3 linked regions of the Struthio camelus genome follow. The protein of the gene in region 2 interacts with the protein of the main gene of each other region in a pairwise test. Links are inferred from orthologs where the notes say so. Each region holds a gene or a part of one and is shown on either strand. Other genes may lie near its edges. The genes, in order: IGF1R, GRB10 and GIGYF2.

Region 1 (9,911 bases), on a different chromosome or scaffold from region 2:
GCGTTACAGGCTTCATCTATGTGCTTCTTGCTCAAACGTTTTTTTTTTCCCCCCAGTTAGCCTCACTGTCGGTGCATCCAAAGGGGCTTCCCTTTCTTTTCAACCCGAAACTACTACTTTCAGAAAAGCCTTTACAGCTCCCAAATTCTTTCCCTTTACACTTAAAATGGAGAAGATTTCCTCCCTTCCTTGCAACAAGGCGCATAATATTTTTTTTCGAAAAATAAGAGGCGCACAACAACAGCTCAAGTAGTATGTTTAACAAAAAAGAAAAAAATACACATACAGACACACAGCGGAAGAAATTAAAGCATCAAGATACAGTATTAAAAAAAAACAACACCTCTGCCTCTGTGGAGCAGAGGGAGACGGAGCGGTTATTAGAGGGGTTGGGCTCCGAGGTGCACGCAACACCTCCCTGCCTACAGACCCTGGGGGGGGGGGGGTGGAAAAAACAAGAAAACCCCAAACAAACACACAAGGGAAGGCTGATTCCGTGCAAGGCAACCTCGACCCTCCGACATCAGAGTGGGGCCGTCCCGGCCCCCCGCGCTGCCCTGGACGGCACAAAAACAACGTCGCGGCGGCGGCTCCCGGACGACGCCGACAGACGCCGCGGCCCTGCGGGGATTAAGCGGCAGGAAGAAGCCCAGGCAGCCCGGGGCCCCCGCCAGGCACCTTCTCCTCCGCGCGGGCTGTACGCGCACACGCGCGGAGGAAGCGGCTAGCACGCCGGGAAACCCACCGCGCAAATCTTAAATCTAGATACAACACGGCCGCTTCAAAAAAAAAAAACAAAAAACCACCACACGTTTAACAGTGTAGTCCTCCCAGGCATCAAACGTTTCTGTTTACGCGCAGACATAACGTAGCGACCTAAAAAATTCGGGGGGGGGGGGGTGGATCGAGACGGTGAGCTGCAGGACGCCACCTCAGCTCTGCGCCCCAAACGGCGCGGACGCAGCCCTTCCTCCACAGCAAACCGGTCAGGGGAGGCACCACGCTTCTCCCAGGAATTCCTCACTCCCGCTGCAAGGGTGGTTTCACCCAGACCTCCCAAAGGCCGAGCCGCCCTCCAGGTGCGGAAGGCAAGCACGGCTCTCCCCAGCCCTCGAGTGTCGACTACGCAGTTCGCAGCCCTGGCCGCAACGGGCTAAAAACATCGCGCTAAAACGCGGGGGAGCTCTCAGGGGTGTACAGGTTAGGTGCGGGGAACAGCAAGGAGGCGACGGGTGGCCGCTATCACTGCCGCGAGGCAGCGGCCGCAGCTCTTTCTCACCGGTGCATAAAGGCCAACCTCCCGCCGGAAAACCGGGAGGGCAGGAGGGAGGGAGGGCAACGCTTTCAAACGTGCTCAAGGAGCGGATTCAGTAACCGGCGGAAAAACACACACATCGCCACAGGCGGGCTGCGACGCGCCAGCCACCGCCGCGCCGACACCCTCACACACACACACACCCCGGGAGCCCCTCGCGACACCCTCACACACAAACACACACACACCCAGGGAGCCCCTCGCCGACACCCTCACACACAAACACACACACACCCCGGGAGCCCCTCGCCGACACCCTCACACACAAACACACACACACCCCGGGAGCCCCTCGCGACACCCTCACAAACACACACACACCCCGGGAGCCCCTCGCCGACACCCTCACACACAAACACACACACACCCCGGGAGCCCCTCGCGACACCCTCACACACAAACACACACACACCCCGGGAGCCCCTCGCGACACCCTCACAAACACACACACACCCCGGGAGCCCCTCGCCGACACCCTCACACACACACACACCCTCCCAGAGAGCCCCTCGCCGACACCCTCACACACACACACCCCCGGGAGCCCCTCGCCGACACCCTCACACACCCCCGGGAGCCCCTCGCCGACACCCTCACACACAAACACACACACACACACACACACACCGGGAGCTCCTCCCCGACCCTCAGACACAAACACACACACCCCGAGGGAGCCCCTCGCGACACCCTCACACACACACACACACACCCCGAGGGAGCCCCTCGCGACACCCTCACACACACACACCCCGAGGGAGCCCCTCGCGACACCCTCACACACACACACCCCGAGGGAGCCCCTCGCGACACCCTCACACACACACACTCACCGGGAACTCCTCCCCGACCCTCACTCACACACACACACACCCTGAGGGAGCCCCTCGCGACACCCTCACACACACACACACACCCCGAGGGAGCCCCTCGCGACACCCTCACACACAAACACACACACCCCGAGGGAGCCCCTCGCCGACACCCTCACACACACACACACACCCCGAGGGAGCCCCTCGCCGACACCCTCACACACACACACACCGGGAGCCCCTCGCCGACACCCTCACAAGCACACACGCACCCCGGGAGCCCCTCGCGACACCCTCACACGCACACACGCACCCCGGGAGCCCCTCGCGACACCCTCACACACAAACACACACCCCGGGAGCCCCTCGCCGACACCCTCACACACACACCGGGAGCCCCTCGCCGACACCCTCACACACACACACACCCCAGGAGCCCCTCGCGACACCCTCACACACAAACACACCCTCCCCGGGAGCCCCTCGCGACACCCTCACACACAAACACACAACCCGGGAGCCCCTCGCCGACACCCCCACACACACACACCCCGGGAGCCCCTCGCCGACACCCTCACACACACACACCCCGGGAGCCCCTCGCCGACACCCTCACACACACACACCCCCTCCCAGAGAGCCCCTCGCCGACACCCTCACACACACACACACCCCGAGAGCCCCTCGCCGACCCCCCTCAGGCACACCGTCACACACAAACACCCCCCAGGGAGCCCCTGCCGACACCCCCCGCGCCGCCACGCACAATACTCACTTTCTCCATTTGTTGGCCACAGACAAAGTGTGGCGAAGAAGAGCAGAAACCCCCAGAAGAAGGCGAGGGACCCTCCTCCGGCGCCAGACTTCATTCCTCTTTTTTTAATTGGACAAAATCCCCCTTTCAGAAAAAAAAATAAAAAAGTAAAAATAAAAAAGTCCAAAATTGTCCTTTTTTTTTTTCCCTCCCCCTCCCCGTTCTCTAAAAAATACGAACGAGGGAGAAGGGGGATGAGAAAGGGGGCAGGATAAATAAATCCACGTTGCCTCAAGAAATTAGTAGTAATAATAATTAATTTAAAAAAAAAAACACGACGACGACCCTTCGGCTTGCAAAAAGCCGAAGGGGTTTCGAGGTCCTTGGGTGTTGATCTTCCGGAGGAACCACACCAAAATAAAAATATATATATATGTGTGTGTGTGTGTGTGTGTTGCGGAGCTCTAGCAGCAGCCCCGGGCGGCGGGCATGGGGCGGCCGGGCGAGGCCGAGCTCCGAGCTCCGAGCGAGCTGCGCGCTGCGGGCTGCGCGGGCGCTGCGCGGGCGCTGCCGCCGCCGCCGCCGCCTGCCCTCAGCGCTGGCTGCAGCGGCGCGTCGTGCACAGCAGTCGCAAACGTGAGGCACCTCGGCGCTGGCAGTCTGCATCCTCCACCTCCATTTTCCAAGCCGGCACACGCGGAGGCCGTACGCGCGCGCGCGCGCACACCCCTCACACCACAAAAACAACCCAAAAAATAATAATAATAATAAAAAAAAAAAAAACAAGGAAAAGCGGCGGGGGTGGTGGTGGGGGGAGCGCGCAGGGAAGGCTTATTACAAAACAACAACAGCGCTTCCCGCGACGGCAGGTCAGCGCCCTCCGCGCAGCGGCGAAGGGATCCCCCCCTCGGCGAGGCAGGGGGAAAAAAGGGGGGAAGGGAAAAAAAAAAAGGAAAAAAACAAAAAAAAAACCCAGCCACACCACCGCCACAAGTCCGGCTGGCCGCAGAGAGAGCCGAAATGCGGAATTCGGAGCAAAAAATGAATCGAAGAGGTTTCCCCCTGCTCCTCCTCCTCTTCCTCTCCTCGGCGCCGCTGCCACAGGCTCCTTCTCCCCCCACCACGCACCAAAAAAAAAAAAAAAATTAAAAAAAAAATTAAAAAGGAAGAAAAATCCGGGACACACACACACGCACACACAAAGCAGCAGCAGGGCGAGCCGCGCCGCGCCGCTCAGCGCGCCGCCTCCTCCTCCTCCTCCTCCCGCCGGCGCTCTCCCCCTCGCATCCCTCCGAGCCGCCGTGCCATCGCGCCGGGGGCGGGCGGAGAGGAGGGGGGGGGGGCCGCCGCCGCCGACGACAACAACAACAAAAACCACCCAGCGAATTTGTAAATCCTTTTTTTTTTTTTTTTTTTTTTGGCCTCCTCTTTCTCCCTCCTCCTCTGGCTGCGCGCGCTGCAAAACCTTCCCCCGCGCTGTGCCCAGCCCCGACGGCGGCGGGCGGGCCGAGGCGCGGGCGCGAGCCGGGGGCTGGCTGGGGGGGAGGCGACCCGCTCCGCTCCCCTCCGCGCCGCTCCGCTGAAGGTCAAAGCCCACGAGCGCGCGGCGAAGGGTCCGTAATTCCTGCCGGGCGGCCGCAGGCGCCGCTGCTCCTCCCAATTAATTCGCCGCTCGCCCGCGGCAGGGTTTGCACCGCGCTGCTGCCGCCGCCTCCCCCCTTCTTCCTCCTCCTCCTCCTCCTCCTCGCTGTGCACGGCGGAGAGCTGACGCTGGTAAACAACAGCCTCAGCGCCGCGCCCGCCGCCGCCGCCTCTGCCTCTCCGCGGCCGCACGGGGACGGGGCGCGCGCGCGCCCTCCTCCTCCTCCTCCCGCGCGCGCGCCCTCCCGGAGGCGCGCGCGCGCGCCCTCCCGCGCCGGCTCCCCTCGCCCAGGCGGCGGCGGCGGCGGCGGGGCGCGAAGCAAAAGCCGGAGCGCCGGAGCGGCGGCGGCGCGCGGAGCGGGCGCGGCTGTGCCTCCTCCCTCCCCCCCCTCCTCCTCCTCCCGCGCGGGGCTGGGGGCGAGGGGCCGCGCTCCGCTCCGCGGGAATCCGCCCCGGCGGCCCGCGCGCAGGGGCAGGGGCAGGCGGCGCGGGGCGCGGAAGCCGGGAGCCGCCGCGCCGGGTGCCTGCTGCGCGGCCGCACCTGGGGGCGGGCAGGAGGCGAGCGGGGCTTGGCGGCAGCCCGGCACCGTGGAAAACACCCCTGCCTTCTTCAGAAATAATAATAAAATTAATACAAATAAAGGCGTGAAGGGACGGCGTTCTGGAGAAATGCACAGCTGCGGGTTTTGCACGGCCTGTTTGCCTGTTTGCTGTCGGTAATCGCTGTTAACGTTGCTGGCACATGGCTTGAACGCTGCAGAGCGCGGCCAAAAGGCCGAGCGGCAAGCTCCCGGGATGGGGGTTCGGGCCCGAGGAACGAGGGAGGCGAACGCTCCCGCTGGCCTCACCTGCGAGAAGACCCAACGGCATAATTTGCCCCCTTTCACGTTTGCAGTCCTCAGTGAATACGGCGTAAAAGCCGCTGTCCCACGTACAGCTCGCCGCCGTCCGCAGCGCCAGGCCTCGGACGGGGAGGGACGAGACCAGCACACGCGGGGAAGGTTTGGACTTGCCGGGCTCGCAAGCAGACACCCGCGCGCCTTAGCTGTGCGCTAGTTCAACGAGAAGCTGCATTAAGAGACAGGCGAGTGTCACATTATTAACGCGAGTGTCAAAAGTAACTTTTCACGTTTAACCAGAAGATTTCTTGAATATGTCGGATTACAAAACTTTCAGTTATGTTGCTGCATCATTTTGCGCAGCAGCATTCCTGTTTTCCTTCTTTCCTTTGTCCGTGTTCACACATTTTGCCGTGTCAGAACGGTCCAGGCTTGGTGTCTCCATCACGCGTTAGCTCTCATACCCTGTCGGAAGGATGGAAAGGCCCCAGGGACTTTATTCTACACCAGTGAGGGGGAGTTTTGTCACGCAGTCAAGCACCGCAGGGGCAGGATTTCTCCACGAGCCGCTTTCCAGGACTGTATTTTTCTAACGCAGTCGAAACACCGGTGCCTGCACATCCAGGCGGTAGCCCAGCGCAGGGATGCGGGGCAGGAGGACAGCGCGAGTCCGTGCGAAACAGCCCTAGACCGACGTGCGCGGGTGTATCATACGCTTCACCGACTCCACGCGGGTTTTCAAGGATTCACTGAATTCGGCCGAAAAGATCTTCGAGTCTAGTGCATGTTTATTATTGCTCTGTAGGACTGTGCCTAGTACTAGCACAGGATATTGAGCAGAATAACTGCGCTTTCCGCACATATAGTGTGTAAATCGTCATGTGTTACTTACAAGTGAACGTGGTGCTGTGTAAAGGCCAAAGTGAAGTGGGAAACGTGTGTCTCCCTGTTATCGTTTTGCTGTCATTACGAATTTTTGTTATTAAATAGCCTTTCTTTTCATTGCTTCGACGAATAGGACAAGTCATGCAAAAGTGCCTTGTACGAGACGCAAACGTAGCTGCACTGCGCCCCCAAAGGCCTCGCAAACTAAGTCATATAGACCCAATCCTATAGGCGTCTCAATGCATTTTGTTTCTGGAGTTTCCTTTGTTTCTCAAAGGAAAACAAACTAATAACAGCTCAGGGGGGGACTTGGGGCATTCTCGCCGCTCTCCAGCTTCCCGTGTTGCCAAGGTGAATGTCGTAATTTGGAGTTTTTGGGCTAGATTCCGCTAGGACATCTTAACTTATATACTTACATGCTGCCTTATATCCCGGGAGGTGCACAGGAGGAAGCCCTTCCTCTGCCAAGGCCGAGATCTCCGTAGCTCCGTACCCCGAGAGGTTCGGAGGAGAGTCGGCAGCCGTCCTTACCCTTTCACCTCCGCGGCTTTCCGTGTCGGCCCTGCAGGCAGACGCGCTCAGCTTCAATGCACGCTTTTAACCGCGTTCTGCTCCCTTGTGGGAGCACCTGCCTCCGAGAGTGGTCCTCTTATTTATTTTCGGTGGGAGTATTTCAGTTAGGATTTTTCATCAGGTACAACCACAGCACGCTCGTCTCTTTACCTATGAAAACCTCGAGCAAACTGTACTGTACGTACGCGATGCACCATTTAAAGGTTGTAAATCGGACAAATGAAAGATGATTCTCATGGTGATGTGCAAAGGTGCTTCGTGATGAAATCCATTTCCTTGTCGGACACCATCTGCCTCTGCTTTTACCCGCAGACCTGCTCAAAGGAGGTTGATCTGAACGGAAGAAGAGAAGGTTTAATTCAGTGGGAACCCAGACCTGGCATCCTCAGCCAGGCTGAGCAGCACCCCCAGCCTAAAACCAGCTGCAAGAGCTTAACCTTTCTTGGGATCCAGAAATGATTAAAATATCTTGTTCGAACTTCATTGCAAGAAAGTCAAACTGACTGAGCATAAAAATATCCAGCCCAAAAGGGGAAAGTTTCCGCCAATGGATTAAGTGAGATGATCGAAATGCGGAGTTCCTGCAGCTCTCAGGCTCCCGAGTGCTTGCGAGTAACCGAGCACGTGTTAGGAGAAACCTGCCCCGTACGGCTGTGGCCACGCACAGTCTTTGCTGAGACCTGGTGAAACCATGCCTCCGCTTTGTTGGAAGCCGTTTGTTTTGGAGGTCGCTCTCCCAGCAGCTGAGACCCCAACTCCACGTCTTGTGTCGGCTGCATCGTGCCCAGCAGCTCAGCCGTAAGCTGCGCAGCCCTCGCTGTTCTTCATTACTGCCTGGCAATTCACTGGTGTCCTGATCCTTGGCAACGTCTCCTACATGAGACTGTTAATAATAAATAAAGAAAATTAAGAAAAGAAGAAAATTAAAGAAAATTAAATAGAAAATTAAGGTATATGATGTTTAATGCATGTCGCATGGCTAGATCTATGCAGGGTTTTTTCCCTCCTTTCTTTCTACGCATGAAGTCTACGGTATAATTTTCAGCAGTAGGAGAAATCGTTTTTCTCCTGGCTTGATCTTCCCTAAACGGTCAGGTAGAAAGCGTCTTTCTTCTCCGTCCCGTTGGTGCTACAACCATTCCTCCTCTGTGTTTGCGCTGGGCTGCATGCCTCCCCTTTTCCCACCGCCACTTTATGGTCCTCAAGATAGACAGATGGACAGAAAGCAACACATAAATCCACCCGCTTTGCCCTCCGGAGCGCGGTGCAGATTGCCACCGGCATACCTGCGTCCTGGTTAAAATGCCGCTTAAGTGGAAAACGCAGGAAGTGTGGCAGTGGGGATGAAACGACGCGGTTAAAACAGCCGCTGACCCCGGTCTCTCAAAACATGTATCTGCCCAAGGCAAATATCCGAATACTCAGCCATATTTTAATTTTAACAGCAGCCTCACCACTGCTTTCGGGGGCCACCACTGGGGAGAAAGAGGCCTCACTATTTTCCCTGCCTCAGTGCTAGCACTGCACTTAGGCCGGCCTAGACTTTATTTTGGCTTCCGCAGCAGTTTCGGGGCAGACTGACCTCTTTACCAGACGCTAGCTACTCGTAACCTTTAAGCATCTGAACGTTTTGCATTGCCGGTGTGAGAGATTTATTCTCCTGCCCTCCCCGAGCGCGTCAGCTCCTCGGGACGAAGCCCAGCCGACTGGAGGTGCCTCTTGCAGGGTCTCTTCGCGGCCCCTTTCACCCCTCCTAATTTTGCAGGCAAGGCGTGCTCCTTAGGGGTTGGGTCTGGGCGAGCGACTCGTCTTCCCAGCCACGTGTGCGAGCCTGGTCCCGGCACCTGTGGGACACCTCCGAGGCCTCGGCCATCACCTGCTTTCTCCCCTCCCCCAAATCTCCATTTATAAACCCCGCTTTATAAGCTGGTAGCAAGCCCTTCGATACTAGGCACAACGCAGTTTGCCCTTTTTTGCCCGGCATCGCCACTTGGTGCTTGGCTGGGAAGTGCGCCAGCCGCCAGCGGCCTCCACGGGGCTCACGGCCCTGGGAAAATGCTCGGCAAGGGGACAGGAGCGCGGCACGCGTTTGGGCAGCAGCATGCCGGTAGCTGCTCCGCGGTGGCAGAGATGTCCGCAGAGCCTCCTCACCTTCCTCCCATCTTTTCCGTACCAGCTCTGCAGCCTCGGGCCGGACTGGGGCAGATGAGACCATCCGGCCGTAGCAGAATCCCTGCAAGCCGCACCTCTTTAAGACCAAAAAAACCCCAACAATTGGCTATGTTAGTGGTGTGCAACACTTAAATACCGGTGTGCTGATCAGAGGGACCTGGAGGAAGCCCACTTCTTCGGTCGGCTTGCCTCCGAGTGATTTCTAATTCTTCTGGCCCTGATACTACTGCAAACAGCGGCTCAAAATTGGTCCCTTCTGTAGCAAATAAAAGCCAGAAGGGAAGAAAGGGTGCTGTTTATACCACCTTCCTTGTACGTGTCCTTCCTTCAAACAAAGAAATATGCAGTTACGAGGACGATTTAGGGGCAGCGGCTGAGCGGGAATAACTATAAAATTCATGTTTTAATAGCAACAACAACAATAAGCGCACAACAACATTTATAGCCCTCGTTACAGGCCTGAGCTATCATATCCATAGCAACTGCAGCAAGCGGTGAATGCCGTATATTTAGAGTTCCCGTGCACCTGCCTAAAATAGCCACCGATAAATTATGCTGATGTTTGTGCCTTTTTGACAGCGTTGCAGCAGGCTGCCGATGCGCCGAGCAGCCACGCCAAGCCCTGGCGGCGCCGCGCAGCCCAGCACTTCACTTCTGCACCCAGCGCCCGCGCTGGCGCGTTCGCCTCCCCTTTCACGTTTGCGAGTGTGACAAATGAGGCAGGAAAGACGCCTGGGAGGCGAGCGCGGCAGCGCGCGCGAGCGGTAGGTGCGCGGGAACAGCTGCCGGGGGCTTCGGGCGTCTGGCGGCTTCCCCGCTCCGGCTCGGCGGCTGTCAAAACGCGGCCGACGTTCACGTATTGAATTAATAAACTGCTGCGAGTAATTAGGGCTCTGCCGGCTCCTGCTGCAGACGGC
Region 2 (9,321 bases):
AGGCTTATAGTTTTATGGCAAGGGATTAATTTAGATGATAATGTAGTGCAGGCTGATTGGCTAAGATGTGAATTTGTACTTTTTAAAAATTTCCTCTTGCTAGGAAGGCAAAATGTGACTTCCTCCCAATTCATTTAACCTATTTCAACATTTAACCAAGTATTTCCTTTCGACTTAAATAGGTATTGCAAGCCTGAAATTACAGGCATTTTGAAATTGCAGGAGAGGAGAATGCAAAGATTTCTGCTCCTTAAGTAACTATTAGCTTTCTAGCACATACAAGTAAGAGGCATTATTTGCAGACTTTTCTATCAATTCCACTGAAATATTTTGTAATTCTTCTAGAAAAGTGATGTTACATGCTGTATGTTAGGCAGCCTGGTAGACTGATGAGGCATGGTTAAGGCAGCACGTGGTGAGAACCAGCCTGGGCTTTAGCTCTGCTTCCCCATCATACAAGCCGTGCAAAGGCACGTCGATAGCTTACGAGACTGCGTTGTACAGAGATCCCCATGTTACTTCTGAGGATGCTGATATCCTGCACAGCTCAGTGCATAAGCACAAAGAAGATCTGATTTGGGTGCAGTACAGCTGGATTGCCATGCCTCTTCTCTTAGCTCGGTGAAGTCTACCGCTATGGAATCCCTTCCTGTTCACATCACTGTAGGGTTCCCTCCTGGTTTTCAGATGGCACTAGCCAGAAGATCCTGCTACAGGACTGGTGAAAACATGCTCATAATAGCTCCAGCGTACAAAGCAAGATATGAGGCTGAAGATGCAGCCGTTTCATATCCGCCCCCCAACCAAACCGTGAAAAGCCTCAAGATGAAATCATGGTCGCCCTAGGCTCACAAAGAGCTTTGCCACTGACTTTCATGTGGCTGGATTTCCTTCTGAGTCACCGTCCTAGTTGTTCTCTCCTCCTCTGTGACAAAGCTGTGAATGAGCACTACATGTTTTGAATAGATCCCAATTTTTCTTGTCAAAAAAGAGAATATATACTATAGCTTGAACTGCATCTCCTCCTATTGCAGTATATTTCTGATTTTTTTTTTTCCTTTCATCTAGTGATAGCTGGCACACAAGTTAAACTTATGCATCTGGAAACCAGTTGGCTTTTTGATTTGGAAACAGTAAAACACATTTAAGATGTCATTTCACCTAACACCTTAAATATCCAAAAATACCCAGTTTTCTTCATCAGAATTGAGAGAATATGATAGGATACAGTTATTACTGTTGAATTAGTCAATGTGTTAATTGTAGGGCTAGAACCGGGAATAGGTGTGTTTTTACAGACTGGTGGGCTAAATTTATTCCTTTTTTTTTTTTTTAAATGCAGCTTCTGTTTGGATCATCAATGTCTCTTAGAATTCCATTCTCATTTTTACCAACTTGTGTAACTGTTCCATTTTGTGCAGCCAAGAAAGAGCACACATCTTTCACTGGAGCTCAGACTTCTAGCTCAAATTACAGCATGTCCCTGACTATTCAGCCTTTTTCAAAAGCTGTAAATAGAGATATAACTTACCTAGCAACAAAAAGGAGATCTCCATAATATAGTCCAGTCAGTTTATTCTGCTGCGGTTATGCCATAGCTCCTATTTTTCTCTTATTATTAAGATAAATATTATACTATCTTTTTAGTATTAAAAAAAAAAAAAACTTTTTCCTAATCAGCTAATATTAAAAAGCCTTTTGATAGCAACTGGGCAGAAAAAAAGAACTACCTAAACCTCTAAAATTAATGCACTTGGTAAAGCTTCTGCAGGGTCAGGTAAAAGCAGAGAATTGAGTGAAAACTAGAGAAAAAAAAAGTAAAGTCTGAAAATGTTGGTCTTTTGGTGAATTCTGAAATAAAATCTGTATACTTTTGCTCTCATAGAAAAAGTGAAATAGTGAAATGTGAAATAGTGGATGTTTTTATAACACATTTAGTCTTAGCCCTTTCCCTTCCCCTTTTGGCTTTTGTTCTCCACCATACAGTGGTAAAATAGGTATAACGGAAAAAAAATGAAGAAGATGGAAAGGAGGGAGAATTTTTTTTTTACCTCTTTTAACATTAAAAAGACTTCATTTATTTTTTCTGGATATTTTAAAAAATATTTCAAGTATTTGCCTCAACTGTAGTAAAAGCAACAAAAATATTAATTTTAAATTGGTTTTCTTCCAGGTTTAACCTTACTAAAATTATAGTGTGTTACACTTCCTGTCTATTTAAGGTGAAAAGCCTTGTCCGTGACAAAAGAAACTTATTACCATTTCAAAGGTTGGTCAGCATTTTTGCCTATATACTTAGTAGGTAATAATGACCACGTTGACCCTTTTTTGATCGCTGAAGTCTTTTATCAGTGTATTCATCCTAGTTAAAGATGATGCTCAATGCCCACTTTCATATAATGCTGTCATGAAAGTGCCTTTGAGAATGAAAGCAGTGGCCAGATTCTGATCTCTCTTCTTCAGATCTTATACTGGTGGATTTTCATTTCCTACATGAGTGTAAAAGAAAGGAAAATTGTGCTTGTTCTCAGAGTATATATGAAATCTAAGACTGTTTAAAGAAAACATCCTATCTATGGGACATTTTTCATTGTTCAGTTTAATCAAAACTCCTAAAAATGACCTTTTTTTTTTCCACATGCGGATAACTGAATTGTAAAGCTTAGCGTCCCTTGGATAAGTTCCAGAACAAGAAAGTCACCCTGCGGAGTTTAAGTCTCAGGGCAAAGCAGCCCAAGCCCACTGTACTTGAACTTTTAACAGCCGCTTATTATTAGGAGCTAAGTCTTAAGTTCAGCGCTAACTGCCTACAGAATGCCAATATTCCGCTTAAGTTTGGGACCTGCTTCTGCAGCCTTAACACCCACCAAAAAAGCTTCCGTTAATGGAAACTTTTAAGGAGTAAAAAAGGCAACGACGGCCTTTTCCATTCTCTTTTAAAAATTGCAAGATAGCACATCACAACGGTAGAACGCAGTTGTTCCCGCATGTTGACCGGGCAATAAAGGGAGAGCCGAAGCCCCGAGCCGGGTGCTGCCCAGCTAGGCGGGGGCCGGCCGGCCCCCCCTCTTCTCCCTGCGCGCCCTCGCTTCCCGTGAGCGCGGCAGGAGCCTCTCCGGCACGGGAAGGCCTGGCCACAGCTTTCATTAGAAATCACTGGAATCGGTCTTACCCGACCCATACCTTAGCTACGGTAAAGAAGAAGAAAATGGGGAGCGGGGATAAATTTACCCCCGGTGTAATTCCCGTGCGTGGTACTTCTGGAGGCACCGGGAAGCTTCTGCGTAAATGTTTACTTTTTTCACTGTCCTTGAGTGGAAATAATGTTTACGCACTCACCAAATATTACTGCTCCCGTTACTTCTTGTGCGGTTTTCCTTGCGGAAAATTACAATTTTTCTTTTCTTCAAGAAAATATCGGTTAATCCTGTAGGTTGTTTTATATTCCGGGCAGCTATTTTCATGGTATGGCATACTGTAGGGGTTTGTTTTTTCTTTTTTTTTTTCAGATTTGTTAGTTAAGGGAAAAGATAACTATCATAAACATGTCCTTCACCGCCATTGTAGGGATGTATTGCTACTTCTACATTTAAGAGTTTTAACGGTGCTATTTTTGATAAACAATTTTATGACAGTACAGGTTTTGCCTTGAACAATACAGTTGTAGTCTAGGAAACTAAACGTATCTTTCCTAGTGTTTTTATTTGTCAGAGGAATGTTTTCAATGCTCTTGTATATCTACTTCTTTTATTTAACTCATCACAGAATGAAAAATTTTGTACTATTAAGACTTGGGCAGTCTCCTATTTTTGTATGTATTAGAAGGAAATCTAAGCACGGACACATGCTTAACAACAATTCAGTCGGACACTTTATCACTGCCAAAAGCATTCGTAGAGGAATCCATCAACTATTCTGATTTCCATGCAAGTCACTTTACCATCTTCAAAAAATGTAACATTAATGGCACTCAGTGTACATACTGTAATCCTTTAAAATAATGCACATGGCAGACGGATATGTTCTCATGCATTAATAATTTAAAAGTTAATTTTAGGTACTTACTCAATATGATTAACTGATGGATCGGCAGTCTTATATGGAGAAACAGTGAGCACACTTAAAGAAAGAGCGTGCTGGAAGACAGCCAGGAGGCTGCTTGTCTGGTGGCTCAAAAATACCTGAGTTTTATGCTTCCATTTTCACTTCAGCCTTGCAGGTACCACATTGCCGTGCTACGGGTGAGCTCTGGTTTCAATAAGAAATATATGAAGCATCTTTTTACGTTGGAGTATCTGAACATTTAGGGAAGAAGCTGCGTATTTTGGAAGCCAGGAATTCCTGAAATGCAATTCTGCTGCTGCCTCACTCGCTAATGCTGGTCAAGTTATATAACTTCTCTCCTTTCACGGTTTTTTTTGAGGACACCCTGTGTGTGGCTTATTTTGTTAACAGTGGCCTGTAAGTTGATAGTCTAGAAGGGAAATGCTGCAGATGACAACGTATAACTGTTTCATTATGAGGCTAAAGAATGCGCTGGGGCAAATAGCATGAAAGGGGATGTGTACTAGGCATGTGTCGAGCGCCTTGGTCGGGCCCAAGGCGGCTGGCTCTGCGAGAGAAGGGAAAAAAAGTCTTCTGGACACCTCTCTTGCACACACACACAGGTCAAACAATGCTGTACCAGTCCGATCTACCTTTGTGCGACGCTGATTATGAAAGCACGTGAGGCAATAACGCCAGACACGTTGGTTCTAGCACCTGACAGCTATGCGCCCATCTATCTCCGAAGCCATCTCGGGCAGCAGAGATGCACACCTGCACCTCTTCACTGGACGGAAAAGCTGGACAAAAGTCTTTCAGCTGGAGATCGGAAGGAGGGAGCTTCCCTCCTCGGGCAAGACGGCAGCGCTGTCGGAGGGAGGCCGGCGCGGGGCCGGGACGCAGCAGCCCTGGTGGAGGGCAGCAGCGTGGGAACGCCGCCGGCCCTGCTTCCCGCAAGGCCAGCCCCGCAACCTGGCAGAGCCAGCGGAGACGGGCCCCGGCCTACTCACGCGCAGCACTGGCTCCGGCGCCTGGTGCGAATGATTCCTGGCACGTACAACTCGGGGAGGGTGGGCAGGAAAATCACCTGGGAATACCCCTCCATCCCCAAAAGGCAGGGCTCTGGTGCTGGGGCAGAGTGGCCTGAGCGGGGAGGAGCGGCGTTGAGAGGGGCCGGGCGCGGAGCGGGCTCCCCAGGGAAGGCGAAGGGTGCTAGCGGTGCTGACAGGCTGAAGAGGAGAGCTCAGCGCCGAGTGAAGTGGAGATGACGGAGCAAATAGCGGCTGCCGGGGCGAGGCCTGAGGCTGCCGGTGTGAGGAGGGCAAACAGTGAGTCTGCAGCAGAGCGGCACGTGCCTCTGAGAGGCTGATGTGATACAGCCGAGGAAAAGGGAGAGATTATTTAAGGAGCTGAGCAGGCAGAGCAAGAGGCGAGAACAGGGAGCAAGATCGCAACAGGGTAGAAACACAGGGACGGGGAGAGGGAGGATTGATAACAAAACACGCCGGGAAATACAGTAAAGAATGAACCACGGAGAGAGAGAGAGAACAACAAGAGCAATGAAGGTATCATGTTACACTTCAAAATACATTCGGCGGAGAGTTCAGTCGCAGTGCTTCCAATAGTTTCTGCCAATATTTACATAAATCAATCTTACGAGGAAAAGCCCTAAGATTTTTCCTGCTTCTCCTTGGACTTAATTTCCTTTTATAGTGCTGACGACTTCTTACAAGAGGTGTTTTATGCGTCTGACTGAGGGAGTATTCCTCCCTCCTTGGAGTGGAACAGATTGCCCTCGAGCCTGGGTGCTTTAAAACGGTAGCTCTTACCGAAGTATGCAACTGGAGTTACTTGCAAATAAGATTGCTTGGAGGTACGGGCAAAGCTCTGGTGATCCACGGAGTGAAATGCCCAAGGTCCCAGTGCGCCAAAGCGGGAAGCAGCGGCCCGTGGCAGTGCGGGAACCCGGTGTTTTGCGAGGCAGCGGAGCTCGCTTGCGGTTCCCACGCGCGGCGCGCTGACCGCCCCAGGGCAACCAGGGCTCTTACGGCCGTCTGGGGCAAGTGAGAACAGGGGGGCTGGAGCAGGTTAAGTTAAAAAGTCCACGCGGAAACCTATCACGCCGGGGAGCGTCCTCGCTGGTGTGTGTGCGCGCGGTTTTTTCTTTTTTTTTTTTTTTCTTTTAAACAAAACAACCCTTCTCCTTCGCGCCCCCCCCACCCCCACCCCCGACAAAAACACGTCATACGTGTCGCTGTGCACGTCTAGCAGACCAAGGGGCTTAGTTTCGGGGTTAAACGCGCCCGCGGCCGGCCGGCCGGCCGTCCCCCTCCCCGGCGGCGCGGGCAGCGGCAGCGGCAGCGGCAGCGGCAGCGGGGGGGGCGGCGGGGGCGGGCTGCGGCTGCGTGCGGCGGCGGGCGGTGCCGGGGGCGGGGGCGGGGGCAGGGCCCGGCGGGGCGGGCGCCGAGTCAGCTGGGCGCGGGGCGAGAGCGCGGCGGCGCCGTTAGCACCGGGAGCCGGCGGCGGCGGCGGCGGCAGCGCGGGCAGAAGTTTTCTGCGCGGAGCGCAGCCCCGCGCGGCGGGGGGGAGCGCGGCTCGGGCCTTTTTTTTTTTTTTTTTTTTTTTGCTGTTGTTTAATTGAGGTTTTTATTCTTGCTGTTTGGGGTTGGTTTTTTTTTTTTGGTTGTTTCGGGGTTTTTTTTTGTTTTGTTTGTTTTGAGGCGCGTGGTCCGAGAGTTGCCCCCCCCCTTTGCCCCCGCCCTTATCCCCCTTCTCCCCCGCCGCCGCGGGCGCCCGCAGGAGCGTCGCCCCCATCTCCCCGCCGACGAGGAGCTGCCGCGGCGCTGCGCGACCCTCCCCCTGCCGCCGGCCGAAACTTGGCGGGGGCGCGGCGCCGGCGGCGAGGGCAGGCCGGGCCGAGCCGGGCCGGGGAGCAGGTAAGGTGCTGCCGGGGGGGGGGGGGTGGGCGGCCGCCGCAGCTGGGGGTGGTTTGGGGGGTTGGGGGGAGAGGACCCGGGCGGCGGGGAGGAGAGCAAACTTCCTTTTCCTGCGGCCGCGGAGCCCCCGGCGGCGGCGCCCGGCCCCGTGGGAGCCGCCCGGGCACCTGGGGCGGCCGCGGGGGGAGCCGGCCCGCTGCCCGGGGCGGCCTTTCCTTGCTGATGTTTTGGGGGGGGGGGGAATCTCTTTTTTTGGTGGTGGGGGGGTGTATGTGTGTGTTTTGGGCGCGCGGTTGTTGCCGGCGCTTCGCGTGGGAGCCGCTCCGCCAAGCGCTGCCCGAGCGCCCTCTCCGTTTTGGCGAGCGGGGTACCCCGATGGGCACTCGGCAAAAATGCCCCCCTCCTTTTCTCCCCCCCCCCCCCGCTTTGCGGGTGCGGCAGCGCCGTGCGCCCGGCCGCGCCTGCTGCCGTGGACTCGGAGGGCTCCGGCTGAGCCGATGCGCCCCAAAACAGGGTCTAGGCTGGGCTGGTGGGGAGGGGGGGGCTCCCTGGTTTCTGCTGCCCGCATTTGCAGCCCCTGGAGGGCGGCGAGGCCGAAAGGCGCGTTACTGCGGTGCTGCAAGCTGCGCCCGAAACTGTGGCATCTCCCTAAGAGCAGTTTGCAGTTAATTGGTTCGGCAGATGAACTCCTGCAAAATCCTCTTGCCCGCTTCTGTCGCTTAAGGGCCAGCCCCCCGCGTCCCCGTCCCCTCATCCCCGTCCCCCCCCCCCCGCCTTTTTTTCCCTGCTCTCCTTTGAAGCCTCGCATAACTCCGCATGGAGAGGGGGGTGGGAAGTGCTGATTCAGCAGCCTGGAGCCCCGCTCCGGCTGAAGTGGTGGTCTGCGTAAAACGTCTCGATCTGTTGAAGCGGGAACATGTGTTGCTGGTATGTCGAAGCAGCCTTGATCAGGTTTTATAAAAACAGCCTTGCGAATGCGGTTTACTTTTCCCTCCTCTATATTTAAAAAAAAAAAAAATCGGGGTGGTAGTGGGGGAGCTACCAGCAGTTTAGATGGTGAGAGAGGGATATGAGGGTAGCTACCGTGTTAAGTTATGCTTCCCAAGGGCAGCTGAAATTGTGTTGCCTCATAAAGGTGCTGAGCAGTTACTCATTTTAACAAAGATTTTGCAGGCTATGTGGTGATGAAGCCTTAACAGTTTAACTTGATTTATTCCTGCATCTGAAGACTAGTTGTACTTACAGCACTAGAAAAGGTACCGAGAAGGGCAATAAGGCTAATCCTAGGATTAAAAGGAGTGAGTTATGAGGACAGGTTAAAAAAAAAAGTGTACGGAGACTAGAAAACCTGAATGGGAAAAGGAAGTATGCTTGAAACATTAAAGGACAGGTCTGGCTGCGCTTTCTGATCATTTGGGGGCTGGAGAGGGTTGGGGAGGGGTCAGTGGGATACTCTATGCGTGGGATGCATAAAGCAGAAGACTTACCTAGCAGTAGAGTAGAGGAGGGAGAGCTATTCAAGAACCATGTTCCTCAGCCTATCTTTGTACAGTTATATGCTAATACCAAGGCTGTTCTGGTTTAGAGAAAGAAAACCCTAACTCCTTAAAATTCTGCACAACACAGAGCAAATGATAAAGCCTGAAGAGCAATATTTGGTAGCCTTATTTCAGAGGGTGAATTGACAGAGCAGCAGACCTGACGCTTGCCCCCCAGTGATCATTTTACCATGTTCTCCTCTGATTTATTTTCTTCACTTGCACTTTATTTGTTCTTAAAGTAGGTCTTGTTTGCCCTGGCTAGGTATTAAAGATCTTGCGGTACTTCCATGGTTTTCCTTGGTTTTGTTAATCAAAATATCCCCTCCCTTAGTGCTATGTGAGAGTTGGCTTTCATCCTCAGATCCAGGTGTGGCTGTATTTCAGTAGTGTGTTTCTATTTTATTAAATCATGTAGTCCAAAAGCACTGCCTACATGTAAAATGGACCTCTCCATTTCAGTTCTGCTTAAGAATACGCCATGTATTCTATGAATAAAATGAAAATTTTTGCAGCCCTCTCTCTTGCATGTACTTAAATGACTCTGACTCCGGCAAGAATTGTCACAAAGGTTTTTAGGAATCTTTGGTCATATTCTCAACTGCACTCTGGGTGTAAATGGGCTAAAAGTATCTGGATCTCTTCAGCAAAGGGATTCTTCCAGCGCGCGGGGAGTTCCCAGCTGGCAGAGGAAAGGCGTAGCTGGGTCATGTGCCATTTCTGCCAACAGCATGCGAATATTGCGCTGGGAGTTTGTTTTCTGACAGTACCAAACTAGCAGATGTCCCTCTAGACTGCGCGGC
Region 3 (9,751 bases), on a different chromosome or scaffold from region 2:
TTATCTTTGGAAATCTGCTCATAGCCTGAATCATAAAGGTGACTTTGATTTCATTAGAGCCATGCTAGATAAAACTAGCCCAGCATACTGATCAATCCCTGCTCCAGAAGGGACAAGCAGACAGATTAGCACATGTAGCTGGACTGAATTTAGAAGGCTTGCACTAAGCTTAGCCATTTTCTTTCACAAACACAGAAAGCTTGCCCATAGATGTTAAAATGCCTGAATCTTGTCTGGATATACTCTGTAGGTCATGACCAAGGGAAACAATGTTCCCTTGGTGAGACCTCTCTCTAAACATGGATTTGCTCAAGTTATTTGCTCTGTTATTGCCCTGGTTTGTGTGTGTATTTCTTTTTTTTCCTCCTTCCAAAACAAAACTCACTAGTCGTCTTTTCACTTGTCTGTTCTGCTTCTTAAACTGTGAGCACTAAGCTGTGAGCATGGAATAATAAATAGAAAAACCTCTACTCTTTAATGTCAGGTGAAAGAATTGCTAAACAATTAAACTGTGTATATATCTTCACAGATTATATTTTATAAAATCACGCTTTTTTAGCTAAATATTTATAATTAAATGTTTTTATACTTTACAACAAAGCAGATAACTGCATCTTCAATTATTTCTCCTGTTGCTGAAATGTACAAATAAAGCCTTGTTATCTCCAGTCTTGCATGTGGTTGATTTTGGGTCCTTCCTCCTGAACATGCCTCTGTTTGAGCCCCAAAGTTTGGTGGCTTGACTTGGATAAGCAGAGAAGTGTTCAGCCCCTTCTCGATATGCCCTCTACTGCTATACAATAGTTCTGCTGTAAAAAGCCCTAATGTTTGCAGTTCTTCTGAAAGGGATGTGGCTGTGCAAATATTTGAAACACTGTCCACTGCAAAATGTTGATATCTGAACATTGTCAGCCTTCCCTTATCTTGAAATAGATACTGCACCTCAGCCTCTAGTAGTGTCTCATCTGGGAGCCTGAGTAGGTTGGTCTAACTACATTTCTCTTTGTGTTTCATCATCCTGCCTTCATAGGAGAAAAATAAATGCATCACAATCTGCAAGCGTTTCCAAGAATCTTATTCTACTTGTGCTGATCTGCTAAGCTTTGCTGGCACGGCCAGTGTGGAGGGCTAAGGAGGAGGCCTAATTAGGCTTCATTGCAGGTGTGATCCAGTGATGAAATGGAAATGCTGTATCCAGTACAGATCTTCAATCTAGCACTGCTCTGTGAGCAGTTCATGCATTTGCTGCACATCTGTGAGCCCTCAGGTCTCTGGGGTCATGTAAAAATCAGAGTGAAGGAAGGCTCCTTGCTCTCCACTTCCTTTTTGCAGCTGTCAATGTTCCTTTTCCCCCTCCTACCCCACCACAGCAAATGCTGCTGCCTTGGCATAGCAGTTCTACAAAGGGAAGCAGGTAACATGTGGTTGGGGGAGGAGCCCTGGGGAGCAGGAGGGGAGGGTGGAAAAAGGACTTCCAAAGTGACCATTTTAAGACTTGAGTCAACTCCAGCTGACAAGTTTCAATAAGGAAATGAGTAGCATGTCTGGCCCTGAGGTAGCTTGGACTGCAGAGCCGGGAAGGTAAGGATCCTTCTTTTGCCATGCAATCCCAACGTAGGTGGGTCAGCAGGGACAGGGAGAATTCACAAATAAGGAAAAAGGGCTGCTGGAGTTGCCCACCAAGGAGATTATCAGTAGGCCTTGGAAACTTGTCATGTCTGTAGTCAAGACTTTCCTCTTTAGCCCTTCTCCCAAAGGGTGGACTTTGCTCATTAGTCCTTTTCCCAAAGGGTGCTCAGTCTATCTGCTGAACTAATTGGATTTTTTTTCTCAGCCCAGGCTTCTTCTGTGAGGTTCCTCTTCTCTGGCGTATGCAGGACAATGGCATCAGGTTTCTCAATGTTCAGTTTTCTGCTAGAGTGGTTTTGTTCAATTCAAGCAGATGCTGTTAGCTGGGGTCTGTATTTAATGCAGTGAACAGTATGTGCTTTTGGGTGTACAAATTTTTTTTTGTTTGAAGGTGCAGCAATGTAAGTTTTGAAGTTAGTTTTACAAGAACTGGCATTTGGAATATAAACGCTCTTTAAATTTTCTGTTTGGCTCGGAACTATTGGATTAAATAACATAGCGTCTTCAGGTTATGCAGAAGTGCTAAAAAAAAATTGCCTAGATAAATCTCCAATCCAATACTTATTGGCCCACAATACCTATTCAATCTTATTTAGCTGTACTTAAAATCTTACAGTCTTTGATACTATGTCCTCCTTCATGTTACTTTTATGCTTGATATCACCACAGGTGGCTCCAGCAGGCCCAGGCAATTCCAATTCTGGTTTCCGATACCTGCTGGTACATCGATACCAGTCTGGCATTACTGACATGCTTGGAGTGACCGTGTGCGTTGTGATAGGGAGGAGAAGTGTGAAGAGAGAAACCCTAGAGAGGTGATTGATGAAAAACCTGTTGTGGATTTGGGTCTTTTCCAGAAGGGAGGAAGACGTGCCTCAAATTGCTCATGTAAAGCTCAGGGAAAGGGAAACAATATGACTGGGAGTATCTCGTCTCTTCTTCCTGGATAAGCGTTCAGGCTTTAACTGTGAGAATTAAGGTGACCAAACTGATTTTTAACCTTTTGGGAGTGTCCAAATAAATCCCTTGGCAAGGCAGATTGAAGTGACCAGAGTGCTTTACTGCTCCTGTTCAAAGTTAGTTTGCAGTGTGAGAAGGACGTCTTAAAATAACTGGGTGCTGCAGAACTAGCAGTATATTTGTGATAGTTTGTCTTTCAGCATAAGCCACCTGGGGTGACAGACGCATTGAAATGACTGACTTTAAAGAACACGGTCCGGTGTTCACCTGCCTGCCTCGTCTGTTGTTTTTATTATTTTTTAGGGACTTCACAAATGAGGGCTGTTCACCATTCCCAGGGAAGACAGAGGCTGTTGAGAAGATAGCGACTGTTCTCAGACAAAATGCTTGGTATATCAGCAAACACAGTAGCTGTGTCTTAAAGTAACTAAAACTTGAGGTGAGGAAGGCAGAAATGACGGACTCCGCCATGCCTTCTGAGCTGCTTTATGACGATTATTTACCTATTCAAAGCTCTGCTCTGCGTCCCTAGCTCCACTGCTATAGTAAAGCAGGCAGGCTCCTGCTTCCAAACTAGGATGCCTTCAATAAGGATTTCTTTTGGTTCCTTAGCGATTCCATTTCCCTACCCTTGGGTTTTTAACAGTGCAGTTGAACTGGCATGGCATCCGAGATGGCTTTAAAGTACATCATATCTTCAGTACCTTAGTAAATGTCAGACTGGCTAGTGAGCTGATTTCATACCTAGAGTACATCAGCTGCAGTCATGTAATTAAACCATGGAGGAATTTAACTGCACAGATACACTCCTCTATGTTCATGACTCACTGTTCTGCTTGAAAGTGTTATGGATGATTTAAGTGTGTTATGGATAATTTGAATTTCCTTGAGATATTTTCAAAAAACGCTAAGTTCTGCACATGAGACATCTTCCAGACACTCTCGTCTTGACATTTTTCTCTCAATAATGTAATGTTTGTGCTAACCGGGGGAAAAAAATTCTGTAAGTTTTAAACTTCTCCCATCTCCGATGTAGCTTATCTTAGAGGACATGAGAGTATTTTTGAGTGCTCCTACTCACGTTCAACAAGCAGAATAATAAGGCACAGCCACTTCTGGAGTGAAGCTGAAAGGTCTGACTGGCAGCTTGATGCGCACCACTGCATCTCTCCCTACTCACACCGTTATTGATATTGGCTCGAGCTGTGTGGCAATAACCAGGAGAATCAAAATCTAGCTTATCAGAGCCCTTTGCTAGGGAGCTTTCTTTTTCAAACCAGCCTCCTAAAGGAGAATTTTCATTCTAAGATTTTGAAGGGAAGCAGTCCTCTGTTGCTCTGGGCTAAAAATAAGAGCTCAGAATGATGAACTTTCAACCCGTTATCCCAGAGGAATCGCTTGTGTGCACTGTCGCGTCATCTTTGGCCAGCATTCAGTGCACAATGACAAGTATTTATTCACCTAGAAGAGCAGAGCTAAAGCTAAATGGATTGTGGCTGAAGTCATGACTGTTTCAGCTGAAAATGGTTATTTCTCCAAAAGCACGTAACAGCTAAGAGTAGCTTTTTTAGGCTGAAATAACCACACGGGGCTATTCCGCGTCGTGTACGAACAGGGGTTTCAGGGCTAAAAATAAAACAGTATTTTTCAGCTGGAAAAGCTTGCCCTGAGCTCCTGACGATGTTCCCGTCAGGCAGTTTAGTATCAAAACAGCTGCTGTGCCACCTACCGCGTTTTCTCCAGCTGCCAGCGGCGGCCGCCGCCTGAGGCCCGGCCTGCCCTGGCCGGGGGCCGACACCCGGGGGCAAAGCACCCGCCTAACACACCGTCGGCTCCCACAGCCGGGCAGCACCGGGCGGGTTTTCAGTGCAGCCACTAGGACGGAATATACCCAGAGGTAACCTAAAACCGCCAGGCGTGAGGGCGAGGAGCGCCAACGGCCGCGGCGCCCGGCGCCGCCTCCTTCCCACAGGCCTTTGCGGCGCGGCGGCGACCGTTGGCGCCCGCCTGCGGCAGGCGGCGCTCGCGCTCCTCCTGGGCCGGGGCGGGAGGGGGGGGCTGCGCGCGCATGCGCCTGGGGCCGCCCCCTGCGGGTGTCGTCAAGTGGGCGGTGCTTCCGCGAGGGCGGGGAGGGGGGAAGGGGAAGGAGGAGGGAGGGGGGAGGAGGAGGGGGAGGGGGAGAGAAGCCCGTTTTCCATCCGGGTCTCTGCGGCGGAGGCCGGGGGGCGGGGCCCGGGCTCACGTGACGTTGCGTGGCGGCGCAACCGCCATCTTGTGTTGTTGGGGCTGAGGAGTCGCGGTGGCCGTGAGGGACTCTCCGTCCGGGAGCGCAGGTACCGCCGCGCCGCCGCTGCCTCCGCCCGCCTCACCGCCGTCCCACCGCGGGACCGCACCGAGCCGAGCCGAGCCCGCACCCCGAGCCCCGGCCTCGCCGGCGGCGGCCCCTGTCCGCCCCGAGCCCGGGCTGCCGCAGCCCGGGGCGCCCTGCGGCCTAGCGGGAGGGAGGCCGCCCCAGGCCGGGCCGGCGGCGCGGGGCCCCTCTTGGGTCTCCCCTGCTCTCCTCGGGGCTTGCTGGGCCCGGCGCCGCGCTCCCCGCCGCCGGGCGGGCATCGCACTGTCCGTGCGGCCCCTTGGCATTAGGGTTCGGCTTAGGGACGGTGCCTGTCAGGCAGCGGCCGGGCGTCGCGCCGCGTCGCGTCGCTTCGCCTCGCCTCAGCGCCTGAGGGGCTGGCAGCTGCGGCCCCGGCGCCGCCTCCCCTTGCGCTGACCCGTGTGAACTCGCTCGTCCCCTCCCCGCCCCGCCTGGCTGGGCCTGTGTTTTGGCCGTGCCGCGGGCAGGTGCGCCCTCGCTGAAGCCTCCGTGCCCGGCTCCCAACACGCCCGGCTCTGTCAGGTTGTACGGGCTGAGGAAGGAGGGAGCTGGTCGCGCACTCGAGCCTTTCCCCCGCAGGCAGGAGGGTGCTGGGAGCAGCAATGACCAGCAGTGTTTGACTGGAGAGGCCTTGGCAGGCTGAAGAGCACATCGATCAGGATTATGTACGTTTGGTATTGATCCAAGACAAGTAGTTTCAGTGTCAACAAAGCAGTCTCCGCTCTTTCAACTCTGTGTAACTGCACTTTGAAGTGGGGCAAGTTTTAGGCCAAAAGGAGACATTGCCAAGTGACACTTCTGGAATAAAACCTATATTTTCCCCAGTAGTCTTCAGCCTGCTGCTTTTGATTTGCTGTTATAATACTACTCTCTCTTACTGTAATTCTTATGTATCTGTTTTCTTGGGGTGGAGGGGAACAGACTTTTGAATTCTGCCTATGTTCTTCTGTCTAACTTCTTGCTGCTCATTCTGTTTTCTTGCTTCAGGATCTGACTTGGGCAAGTTCCTGGAAAGTACGTGTGAATTTTCTTTCCTTTTCCCATAACTCTTGCAGTTGCGTTTTATTTTTAAGTTACTTCTTAATAAACACATTCAGTTGATGCTTTTTCTGAATAGAACGTTTGGTAGATGTACAGAGTGATAATTTGGACCCTTTATGAATGAAATTGGTTGCTGTAGTCCCTAACAAGAGCTTGTTACAGGTATTCTTGAGCTCTGTTTTTCAGTGGTGGTTGTAATAGATAATACTAGTTCTAGTGTCATGCAGTATTGGTGTTACTGGCGTTCACTTGACTGGACCTCCTTTGGTCAGTTAACTGATGCTGAGGTAAAACTATATGCCCTAGTCAGTCCTAGTGGTGTCAACAAAAATGCTAAAGTGTCTTTTGCCCCTTCTGCACCCTCTCCACCTCCCACCTCATATAGACGTAAGTCCTACAAGTTAATTAATGTCCAAGTTCATGTGTGTCAATGTTAATTCCTCACTGAACATGTGATTGAAAACAAAGATTCAGTATAATGGCCAACTATATTAAAAAGAACGTAGAAGTTTATCTGCAGGAGTTGAATGTCAGCTGTCGCCTTCAGGAGGACCTGCTTTCTATTTTTTAGGATGCTCATAGAAAGACTTTAATACCTCAGTAAAAACTCTGACCCTTGTAGATCTTCTCAGATTCAACAGATGTTGATCTTAAGGGGACTTTAAAGTATCCTCAGATACTTAGTGGCTCTCTTGCCTTCCTAAAAACATGCAGTAAATGAAAAATGAGATCTCTATACTGACAGAAGTGAAAAAGCTGCATGTAAATAATGAGTTGAGATTTTACCTTAGTTTTTCTAATAAATCCACTTCTTGATTGATGAAAGGATTTGGCGTGTCAAAGGGGAGTTGAAAAGGGTCTGCAAGGAAGCTTTTTTTAAGGAGAGTTCAGAATAAGTGCCATTGTTTCTCTTCTTCTCCTGCTGTCTCCTAAGGTCAGTTGTCTAAATGGAGTCGTATCAGAAACTGGAGTTTCTTAAACCTGAATGTGAGGAAAAAGTTGGCAGCACTTTTAGGATGTGTAGATACTTCCTTTCTGAAGCAAACTTGATGTCAAAGTCTTGTAGAGCATCTCATTAGGGTAGGCACACAGACTGACTGAAGAGGTTATTTGCTAGTATGTACCTCTGCTGAAAAGTCTTTGTAGTTATTTAAAGGTACAAAGGGAAAAACAGTTGGCAAAATCAGTTCATAGTAATCTATGAAGATGAGTTAGGCGCATGGACCATGATCTTTTCCTTCCCTTCTTCACCCTTCTTTAAAGTGGTTCAGCCTCCAGCTCTTTGGTGGTGGTGTTGGAAATGTCAAGAATATGAAATATGATTCTGCTTACTTTTGTCTGCTCTTGTAAGCTCAACTATCGAATGCGCTTTTCTTATTCTTGCACTGAAGTCTTTAACCTCCCTTCCTACTGCTTTTTAAAGTATGAAGCTAAATCTTCCTACAGTCTGATTTTTAAAAATTCCTTTCCTTAGCTTTTTTTGTCTATGCTTATGTCTTTTTTCTTAGTGCCCCTGCTCAAAGATGAAATGAGATAAACTATATTTAATTTACAAATAGAGATAGGCAGAGGTAAGGGACTGAGCAACAACATTTCAGATCATAAACCTCAAAGCATGGGCCTGATATGTTTCCTCCTTCCTACATAGCTTGCTGGAGATCTATTGAATGTTTTGGTAGGGAGAAATCCATCTCCTTGTTATTGAAAAGACATTTATGTTGAAAGAGATCTCTTTCTTCATGTGGTTTCTCATTGATTTATTTTAATTCATTGAGTGACAGTTGAAAACTTAGGTGTGTGACATGTTCCAGAGGGGATGATGCTATTTGTTTTCATGAGAATTAAGTCAGTTATCAGCCTAGCTTTGCCTCTCTTTCCTTCTTGGCAGTCAAGTATCAAAGTCTTCGGCTGCAGAAAGGATCTGGCTTGAAAATCATCAGAACTGAGAACAGTTAGCAAGTTTGCTCATGGTATACTTCAGTTATAGATGGAACTGAGAAGAATTAAGTGCTTTAAATCATAAGGTCTATACAACATTGGCCCTCTTGTGGTTGGTTGTAGTGTATGTATATATATTTGTGTGTGTATATTTATATACGTGTCTGTGTGTATATATATGCACATGCAACCGTGTAGTTGATCATAGTAATATTCATTTTTCCTCCTCTAGGTCAGATGGTAGCAGAAGACTGTAAAAGACAAGTTCTTGCATTGCTTTGTTAGTAGCTAAGATTGCCACAGTATGTTGATTACAAAATGTGTCCAGTTCTCTTTTTTGCAAAGAGAGGGCTGTCAATCTGTTCTTCTTAAAGGTCAGTCAACATTCCTTGAATATAGAAACTCTGCAGCAGTGGCTTGATGCCTGTGAGAAACTAGGCTGCCATTGAAAATTTTATGTCTCTCTTGCTTATTTTTTTTGTATGAAAGGATACACAGAATTGTTTTGTGGTTTTTGGCAAATGTGACATCAAAGTATGTATTTTCAGGAATAATCTTTTTGAAGTCATTAGTGCTTGTAATGTGTATAAGCTGGTTATCTAGACCTCAGAGGATTGTGGAGAAAAGCAGAGATGTCTGTAAAACTAGGGGGTCTGTAGGTCAATGAGACATTTTGCTGGGCATTTAGAAAATGTATCTAAAATGCTATTGTGTTGACAGTACCTTTTGGATCATTTATTAGCTTTTGATTCCCTCAGCTAATTATTAATAGTAATGCATTGTGGATTTGTTATCTTTTTGGCCATATGTTTTCGAGAATCTAGGCAAACAAAGCGATTATTTGCTGCTCTCAACAGCGGCTTTTGTATATTTAACTTGTCACTGTAAACAGGTAAGCTGGCCTACATATAACGTGTTACAAAAATAAACCAAATGGAAAATTATTATTGAATGCTAAACAGCTGTTATTGAAGCAAAAGTAAGCATGACACGTTGCACTTTGAAAATTAATGTTTTGCAATTGTATATTTGGTCATTTTCATTCAACAGGAAAATACTTATTTCAAATTGTGATTACTATGAAAAACTTTCTTCCTGTTGTTGACAACACATTGAAATCCCTTTCATGGTATTGACAGTATTTTATGATGAAGATACCAGTTGGTGGGACTGGAATGTTCTGAGGCTATAGATCTACGTATGCAGGTTAGATGGGATGAAAGGAGATTTGTGGCCTGTATGTGGTAGTGTGTTTCTTCTGATAAGAAGAAATATGAGGAAAAAATGTACTTCTGGTGGTGAATGGGTAGCTGAATTTATGTAACTTCAAACTTCAGGCAAGATATAATATGGTAAGGAGTTGGTATGATTGGTAACTAAAGGATGTATAAGCTGTGATTTGTGAGCAGTGTATGGTAGAATCAGAATAATTTAGGTTGCAGGAGATCTTTGGTCACCTGCTCCAACCCCCTACTCTAAGCAGGGCTAGCTTCAGTGTTCTTAATAAGGCAGATGATAGAAAGTGAGTGAGGATGATCATGGAAAAACAGCATATGGTGGGATTTTTAAGTATCAGCAACCAATAACTTGATTTAAGAAATCGGAGGCCTGGTTCAGCTACCATTAAAACCAGTGGAAGGTTTTACACTAGGCTCAGTTAATGCTGAATCATCTGTATGTGTGACTTTCTGTATTGTTTATGTTATAGCAGATTTTAAGAATACTGAGGCAGGATCAGTATAACATTGCAAGTGAGTTTACAAAGATGTAATTCTTCTGTCCCTTGGTAAGATGTGAATGTCTTTAACAACG

The links.
Region 1: the proteins of GRB10 (region 2) and IGF1R interact in a two-hybrid assay, tested with the Homo sapiens proteins (4 studies listed by BioGRID and IntAct). The link is inferred for Struthio camelus from reciprocal best matches to the Homo sapiens genes GRB10 and IGF1R.
Region 3: the proteins of GRB10 (region 2) and GIGYF2 interact in a two-hybrid assay, tested with the Homo sapiens proteins (2 studies listed by BioGRID). The link is inferred for Struthio camelus from reciprocal best matches to the Homo sapiens genes GRB10 and GIGYF2.

The regions. Positions count from the first base shown.
Region 1 is NC_090953.1:5,222,572-5,232,482, reverse strand, and holds the start of IGF1R (insulin-like growth factor 1 receptor), read right to left. Parts: upstream 4,158-9,911; 5' UTR 4,081-4,157; intron 3,385-4,080; exon of another isoform or gene 3,029-3,384; 5' UTR 3,000-3,028; coding exon 2,906-2,999; intron 1-2,905. UniProt on the Homo sapiens protein: Receptor tyrosine kinase which mediates actions of insulin-like growth factor 1 (IGF1). Binds IGF1 with high affinity and IGF2 and insulin (INS) with a lower affinity. The activated IGF1R is involved in cell growth and survival control.
Region 2 is NC_090943.1:65,754,269-65,763,589, reverse strand, and holds the start of GRB10 (growth factor receptor-bound protein 10), read left to right. Parts: upstream 1-5,360; 5' UTR 5,361-5,609; intron 5,610-6,555; exon of another isoform or gene 6,556-6,980; intron 6,981-9,321.
Region 3 is NC_090950.1:5,921,042-5,930,792, forward strand, and holds the start of GIGYF2 (GRB10-interacting GYF protein 2), read left to right. Parts: upstream 1-4,791; 5' UTR 4,792-4,922; intron 4,923-5,539; exon of another isoform or gene 5,540-5,625; intron 5,626-5,947; exon of another isoform or gene 5,948-5,974; intron 5,975-9,751. UniProt on the Homo sapiens protein: Key component of the 4EHP-GYF2 complex, a multiprotein complex that acts as a repressor of translation initiation. In the 4EHP-GYF2 complex, acts as a factor that bridges EIF4E2 to ZFP36/TTP, linking translation repression with mRNA decay.